2 linked regions of the Arabidopsis thaliana genome follow. The protein of the gene in region 1 interacts with the protein of each later gene in a biochemical or structural test. Each region holds a gene or a part of one and is shown in the gene's direction. Other genes may lie near its edges. The genes, in order: NRPE3B and NRPB11.

The links.
Region 2: the proteins of NRPE3B (region 1) and NRPB11 form a complex in vitro, tested with the Arabidopsis thaliana proteins (one study listed by BioGRID).

The regions. Positions count from the first base shown.
Region 1 is NC_003071.7:6,710,943-6,714,871, forward strand, and holds NRPE3B (DNA-directed RNA polymerase family protein), read left to right. Parts: upstream 1-1,952; 5' UTR 1,953-2,079; coding exon 2,080-2,528; intron 2,529-2,717; coding exon 2,718-2,955; coding exon of another isoform or gene 2,956-2,976; exon of another isoform or gene 2,977-3,171; coding exon 3,172-3,444; 3' UTR 3,445-3,667; downstream 3,668-3,929. Other genes in the region: FUT4 (fucosyltransferase 4), read right to left, coding at 1-102. UniProt on the Arabidopsis thaliana protein: DNA-dependent RNA polymerase catalyzes the transcription of DNA into RNA using the four ribonucleoside triphosphates as substrates.
Region 2 is NC_003074.8:19,317,225-19,321,153, reverse strand, and holds NRPB11 (DNA-directed RNA polymerase, RBP11-like protein), read left to right. Parts: upstream 1-2,030; 5' UTR 2,031-2,155; coding exon 2,156-2,208; intron 2,209-2,289; coding exon 2,290-2,379; intron 2,380-2,468; coding exon 2,469-2,547; intron 2,548-2,653; coding exon 2,654-2,743; intron 2,744-2,831; coding exon 2,832-2,927; intron 2,928-3,052; coding exon 3,053-3,085; 3' UTR 3,086-3,305; downstream 3,306-3,929. Other genes in the region: AT3G52100 (RING/FYVE/PHD-type zinc finger family protein), read right to left, coding at 1-3, 215-293, 377-465, 546-638, 749-798, 877-1,051, 1,193-1,246, 1,325-1,664 and 1 more; chx28 (cation/hydrogen exchanger 28), read right to left, coding at 3,419-3,929.

The DNA.
Region 1 (3,929 bases):
AGACAAAATTAGTAAGGTACTAAAGACGATGGTTATCAGAATTTTCGTCTTCAATCCCAAACCCTTGATAACTTCGCCGGAGATCTGAAATATATGATACATGTTGACTTTTAGTTTGTGAAGATGATTCAAAAAGAGTTTACAACGCTTATATAACTTGATTACAACTTTTAATGTCAATCACTGATCAATAAGATAAAACTTTGAATATTCTAATGTGTCATTGTTAAGTTGTGACTATCAACGAACTCCAAACGTGACTCTATTTTGTTTAATAGAAGAAAAGTCTTTAAACTCCAAATTGTGATTTTGTATTATATAATATTCAGAATTATCGAAGAAACTTCCTATGGGAGAGCTCTTGTGAATTATTAACAATTTGGAATCCAAACAACTAGGATTTGTCAGGCACGTTGTGAAGACCATGACATTGATGTATTGAAATATGCAATAATTTGTAATTACATAAATATTGAGATCTGTTTGACATGCCCAATCAAAACATACAATCATGTCAATAATTAAGTGATCCCAAATTGTTTAAACGATTTACCTTAGTGATCAAAGTCCTAAACTCGTTTAAAAAACTAATGGTCAAAAGATTCCTAAAAAATTGCAAGTAGGCCACGAAACATAGAGAAAGTGATATGAACTTTAAGTTTCTAACAATACACCAATAAAATTATGGTCCAGATTTTGATCTATATGTAATAGGTTCATGAACTTAGTTTTAAAAGTCACAAACGGTATACGTAGATTATTGTTAACATGAACGACTAACAACGACATAACACGCGCAATTCATATGACTCTAGATGTTACCCTTGATATTCACATGCATGTAAAACTCTCAATATGCTATTTGAAAGTCTCCGGGGGTTGCCACGTCATCACATCGCTCCAAAGGCCCCATTTGTTTTTTCATTTTTTTTTCCTTTATTAAATGTTTTTCTCATCGACCAATCGTCCTCTGACTTTTTTTATTTTGACGAGGGAAATGTATTCAGATTCGAGCGGAACCGCGGTTGGCCCGGTAAACCCGATGACTCAGTCACTAATCCAGTTTGGCTCCAACACTACAATCCGCTAATTTTCAATCAGGTAAATTTTGAAAATCTCTAATAAATTCCGGTAATGGTATAACCCGCGATATGGTACTACTAGTTGAAACCGTCGTGCTTAAAAATGTTGATTAAAATTCAACTTTTTTTTTTTGGCTAAACTGCAAATATCATATATATGAAAAGGATGGTTTTACAAGGAAGTTAAACCCGGAATTGGTTTCTTGGCAAAATAAAAATAAAAAAGGAAAGCAATATTAGAATTTTGGACCAGACATGATCAGTGCACTTAAAGCCCCAAAACCCACTAAAATTCTATTTTTAAAAATAATTTATATTTTCTGTTGGATAAAATATATTATATGTAATCTTTTAGATTTAGGTCAAGATTTAATTGTGTCAATGAAAATAAGCGGAATAATTATGAAAATAAGCGGAATAATGATGAGTACAACTTGTACATTGTCCGAAACCATTCACATAATTACCATTAAAATTAATTATGTAAAAAAATTTTAATTGTAATTAGAAAGAATAATTTTGGAAAAACACTATATAAAGATTAAAACAACAAATTTACCATTATTCTTTATGAACCAATGCATTTTTAATCCTTTTTACTCTTTATATAATGTTTTTAATCCAAGTTACTGTTAAAAATATGGAATTTCGATTCTTTTTAATATTTGTATTTCCAAAATTATTATTATGTAATTCAAATTATAAAGATTAAAAAGTCTTAAAATAACATTGGGTCATTATTTGAATTGATGTAAACAGAAAATCCATTGTAGACATTTTGACCATTCCCAATAACTGTTATGAGAAGCCTGAAAATGCCCAGTAAACAAAAGAATAGGCCCATATAGGCCCAACTTAAACTACTATAGTTCTTCTTATACCTTTTTCCACTCTCACTCACTTTGCTCTCTCCAAATTTCTTCTTCTTCTCCGGCGAAGAAATCGAAAAGTCATTACCCTAAGAGTCCCAGAGTCGTCAGAAGGAACAGCTTTTGAAATGGACGGTGTCACCTACCAAAGATTCCCAACGGTGAAGATCCGTGAGCTTAAAGATGACTACGCCAAGTTCGAGCTTCGTGAAACCGACGTTTCAATGGCCAACGCTCTCCGTCGCGTAATGATCTCCGAAGTCCCCACCATGGCAATCCATCTCGTCAAAATCGAGGTTAATTCCTCTGTTCTCAACGACGAGTTCATTGCTCAACGACTTAGTCTCATCCCTCTCACTAGCGAGCGTGCTATGAGCATGCGGTTCTGTCAAGATTGTGAAGATTGTAATGGAGATGAACATTGCGAGTTCTGCTCTGTTGAGTTTCCCCTTAGTGCTAAGTGTGTTACTGACCAAACCCTAGATGTTACTAGTAGGGATCTCTACAGTGCTGATCCTACTGTTACTCCTGTTGATTTCACTAGTAACTCATCTACTTCTGATTCAAGCGAGCACAAGTAAGTCCCTTTTCATCATTGTAGTGATTATTTGTTCTTTATGAATTGATTGGAATTGCTAAGCTTAGATATTACACAATGCTAAACAAAATTTGACATCTTTAGATGCCCTTTGCATGAGTCTTCCTTTTGGTAGTTCTGTGGCTTTTTTTTCTGCAGTTTCTTAGACTGTTATTGTTTTGGTTTCAGGGGAATTATCATTGCGAAACTACGCAGGGGACAAGAGTTGAAGCTTAAAGCATTAGCTAGGAAAGGAATTGGGAAAGATCATGCGAAATGGTCTCCTGCAGCTACTGTTACGTATATGTATGAGCCTGACATTATTATCAATGAAGAGATGATGAACACTTTGACAGATGAGGAAAAAATTGACTTGATTGAGAGCAGTCCTACCAAAGTGTTTGGCATTGACCCAGTCACCGGACAGGTTAATTTCGATGTTCTGTAAGAATAACATCTATACAAGTTTATAGCTTTGAGACTTCAATATGATTGTACTACTTTATAGGCTACCATGCTTTGAAATATATGTATGTGATGTGGTGTATGAATTTTCTTTAAGTGTTTAGTGCGTTTAGCTCATTTCTTTTGCAGTCTATTGTTTGAATCATCACAACTGTAATTATAATACTTTGCTTCTTAGGTTGTGGTGGTTGATCCTGAAGCATACACTTACGATGAAGAAGTGATCAAGAAAGCTGAAGCAATGGGGAAACCGGGACTCATTGAGATCCATCCGAAACATGATAGTTTTGTATTCACTGTTGAGTCCACAGGTGCATTGAAGGCTTCTCAGCTGGTACTAAATGCCATTGATATCCTGAAGCAGAAGCTTGATGCAATCCGTCTCTCAGATAACACTGTAGAAGCCGATGATCAGTTTGGTGAACTCGGTGCCCATATGCGTGAAGGATGAAATCGTAGCTCTTTTTTTACCTGTTTGATCAGGGTTTAAGTTTCTTCTAGACCAGACTAATATATTAACCGTAGCGGCACTGCCTTGTTTGATAGCAACATGTAAAGTGGCAGTCTTGTCTTTGTTCCCGACCTCTGACTGATCCTTGTGTTCCTGAACCTTGTTATGTTGGGTTATTTTTAGTCGTTGAACTCTCTCGTAATTGGCGTTTTTTTTGTTGTCATTGTTAAGAATGGGTTAGTTAATATAGGAAAAAAGATTTTAATTGATATTAATTAAGGTAAAAACAAAATATTAAACTAATATTGAAAAGTTTAATATTATATTAGTGAGATACTCTAACAAAACCAAGTTAATATTTTTCTATTAATTTATCTAAAAAAATAATATATATCCACATGTTAGATATATATATGTATACTTAAAAAAAAAATGTGAGTGGATGAAAAATATTTGTTTCTTCTTAATGCTGATACCTAGGAGTG
Region 2 (3,929 bases), on another chromosome or scaffold:
AACCTACGTGATGAAATCAAAATAATTTGTCAATTCAAAGAATGTAAGAAAATTCTGCAAATAACTGCTTTTGCAATACAGATGTCTGGATAGTATAGGGTAACAACTCCAAAATACATAACTCTATTAATTATGGCCAAGAATATCTAAATATGATGCTTGGAAACAGAGCGCACGTTTTCCTATCACCGAGGAGGAGAATATGTAAATATACCTTCAAACATACAGGACAATAATTCCCCTTAACAAACAACCTTCCACAAGCATCACAACAAGTATGCCCCAAAAACCACCTGCAAAGTTTAGAAGGAATAATAAGAGATAGTGCACTTTACATGAATAAATTTCAAGTATCACAAGGCAAAAAGTTAAATACCGTAAGCTCTGGCCATTCCCAGGGACTGTAGACTCACAACTGTAACATTTGGTGTGCTTAGGACACAAATAGGGTCCAGAACTAACATTCTGTAATATTCAGAGATTAAAATAAACCAATTTGCAAAAGATAAGATAAGAACCTTATACAGACGCAATAAATACTATACCTTGTGCCGAGGATGTTGGCAATCACAATGATATGCATCATCACATCTTTTGCAGAACATAAACTTTTTTGGATCCCCTAAAGTCCCGCAGCCCTAAAGGAAAAATGATCAAAAGAATACAAATAATCAAGCAGCAGTCATACCTAGCCCAGCATGTAAAGAGCAAGAATAATCATTGAGCACAAAGTTGTGTCCGAACATACCTCACAGATTCGGCAAGATGGGCACGCCCAAGAGCTCCAATTAAAAAGATCTGCTAGCAAAAACCGGTATAAGAATCTAGGCAGAAAGACTCATAAGTCATAAACAATAGATTCCTATGAAACAATACCTCTATGTTGGGCCCAAGACTTCACGCAGTTTCTATGATACTTCTTCCCACAACATTTGCAAGAAAGCATCTTGGCTCTCTCACTCTTCCCAACTTCAACCAAATAGCACATGTGACATGTTATGCTTGCACTGTGATGATCATGATCTTCTTCATTGAGGTCTTTGACTGAAACCTACATAGAGAAAGACATAACATTGAATTAGTGTCTTGACGAGAATAGACTTCATAATCATCCAAAAAATCACAAGTAGTTTACATATAAATCATAGATTACAGAACCCGAAAAGACAGGACAACACCAAAACACATACACGAGATACAGATAATCAACATCACTGAAAACACGTTTTCTCACAAAGACAGATTCCTATAAACAAGTTCAATTCAATTGACATAGCAGTAACCCCTAACCACAAAAACAAGTTTCGCAAGTAAGAATTCGAACCTCTAAGTCGCCAGAACAATCATTCGCAGCATAAACTTCCACAGCCTTCTTCTGCAACACCAAGGTGCGTTTAGCTGGTACCAAATTCGATGATGCAGCAACAACCTCCATCGCCGAATCACTCCCAACACCAACATTTCTAGCCGCAATGCGAGGACCAGTATCGAAAACAGCAAGCTTAGGCACATGGATCTGAACGGTACCGTCCTTGGAAACCTCAGCATCCCAGGGGTTTCGCACGAACTCCTGAAGAGAATGGATCTCTTTGAGATACACATCCTTGACTTCATTACCATGAAGATTCCGAGAAAACCCCAAAACGCAGAAGCAAATTTTCCGGCTGCGGAGAAAGAACGAAAGAAAGAAGAAAACCCCCAAATTAGAACAATTCGATTAGTAAAAACAAACAAGCCAACGAGTAAAGGAGGCGCCAAAAGAAAGAAAAAAAAACATACCATGTAATTGGACAAGCTACGTGAAAGGCCATAGTCGGTTTTCAAGTTTTACGCTTTCGGGTTCGATTTTTAGGGATCTGACTTCTTTTCTTTTTTTCCTGAATTTTTTGTTAGGTTTCTGAATTAAATCACTCGTCCTTTATTGTGTAAATAATATAAACCTAGAGGTCCTTAAACGGAAATATTATGTTTTATCGGCCCGATCCGACCCAAACTGTATACACCAATAATAATATAACACGTGGAGATTCGATCTTTTTTCTTTTATGAAAAACGACGTCGTATTATATTTTGTTTGCCAGAAAGAAACTGAAGAACTCTTGACTGTCTCTCTGCGGCGAAAAAGAGAGCGAAGCTTGAAATCTCCGATTAAGCCATGAATGCTCCCGAACGATATGAGCGATTCGTCGTCCCTGAAGGCACCAAGAAGTAATTGAAGTTTCTATCACTCGAAATCATACTCGATAGTCCTCTTACATGTGCTAAACCCTCTCGATTTCTATGTTCTAGGGTTTCTTATGATAGGGATACGAAGATCATCAATGCTGCTTCCTTCACGGTTGAGAGAGAAGACCATACGATTGGAAACATTGTCCGCATGTACGTCTTTTTGTTGATTTTGCAACTCTTTTCTCAGAAAGAAGAAAGCCCTAATTTTTGTCAGCTCTGTTCTGAAATTTTTGTTTTAGGCAACTTCATCGCGACGAGAATGTCTTGTTTGCTGGATACCAACTTCCTCATCCTCTTAAGTACAAAATCATAGTGAGGGTAAGTTCCAAGTTTTTCAGTTGCTTCTACTGTAGAGCCTGTTGCTTTGAATTGGAAAGAACAATGCTATCCTCTGCGTTTTTTTCAGTTCATTGATTGACCTTAGGATCCAAAAGATTGGTTTAGGAACTTAAAAGTAGTGTATGGTTGTTTGGAAACCGTGAATATTTCTTGGTTTAAGCTTCTAGTGTTAACAGTTTCCTCTGGGATTACTGGTTGCTTAAGGACTTATAGAAAGATCTTGTATGTTGTTGTTTAATTGTGAAAGTGGTTTCTGTATGTAGATTCACACAACAAGCCAGTCTTCCCCAATGCAAGCATACAACCAGGCCATCAATGACTTGGACAAGGAGCTCGACTACTTGAAGAACCAGTTTGAGGTACATAAGTTTCTCTCTTCGGATATACTTATCTGATTATGTGGTTAATAAGCTAGACGAATATCAAATGCTATTGATGTTGTTTGATGTACCTGGTCTTATGGTATACCCTTCTGTGTTTTCAGGCAGAGGTGGCCAAGTTTTCGAATCAGTTTTAAGGAACTTGGAGTTCTCCATCAGCACATCGGGGAAAACGTTTTACATTGTCTTTTGCTAAGCACCAATCAAGACTAATAATGAGCTTGGGAAATTTTCCCTAGTTATGCTTTGTATAAATCAAAAACAAATCGGCCTGTAACTTCTTTTAACTCTATGTTTCAACACCATTTCAGGATGCTATGAAGTAATGCTTAGATTACCTCTTCTTTTTACCATTCTATCTACATAAACCGCTTAATGTTTGAACTATTGTACAAAGTCTCTTTAAGAGTTGTGATGGTGAAGCTACTACTCTTCCCAAGCTACTAAGTAAAGTGCATTTGTACAGATATTCACAGTATAGTGAAGTCATCATGAAGCCCTTCTAGCTGACCCCGAGTACGCTGCTGCTGAATAATTAACATTGATGTGTTGTGTGAGAAATCTGATCCTGAAAGAACGTCACCTATGGGACCAAGCTCTGGACATTGCTGCCAGTCGTTGAGGCCGGTGGTTAACCCACTGCTCGCTCTTCCCCCTCCTCTTCCTACAATCACCAGCCCATACTCTCCATCTAGTGATTTAAGAGCTGTGAAAGTCTCAGAGGAGTTGGTGAGATGCTTCTCCATGTAAGACACTCTTCCACCTCCAGCTATGTATCTTTCGTAGAACTCAGCAAAACATTCATCATCAAGCTTCATTTCCTCCTCTTGATCTACCACACTCGCTCTGTTCAGGATGCTGCTTCGTTTTTGTGCGTTTTGAGAGCTCTTGTCTTCCAAGAAACGTATAACCTTTAATTTCACAGCAGGATGTCGAGCCACTTGTGCAGCGAAGGCTAGTGCCTCTCGGTCGTCTCTGCCA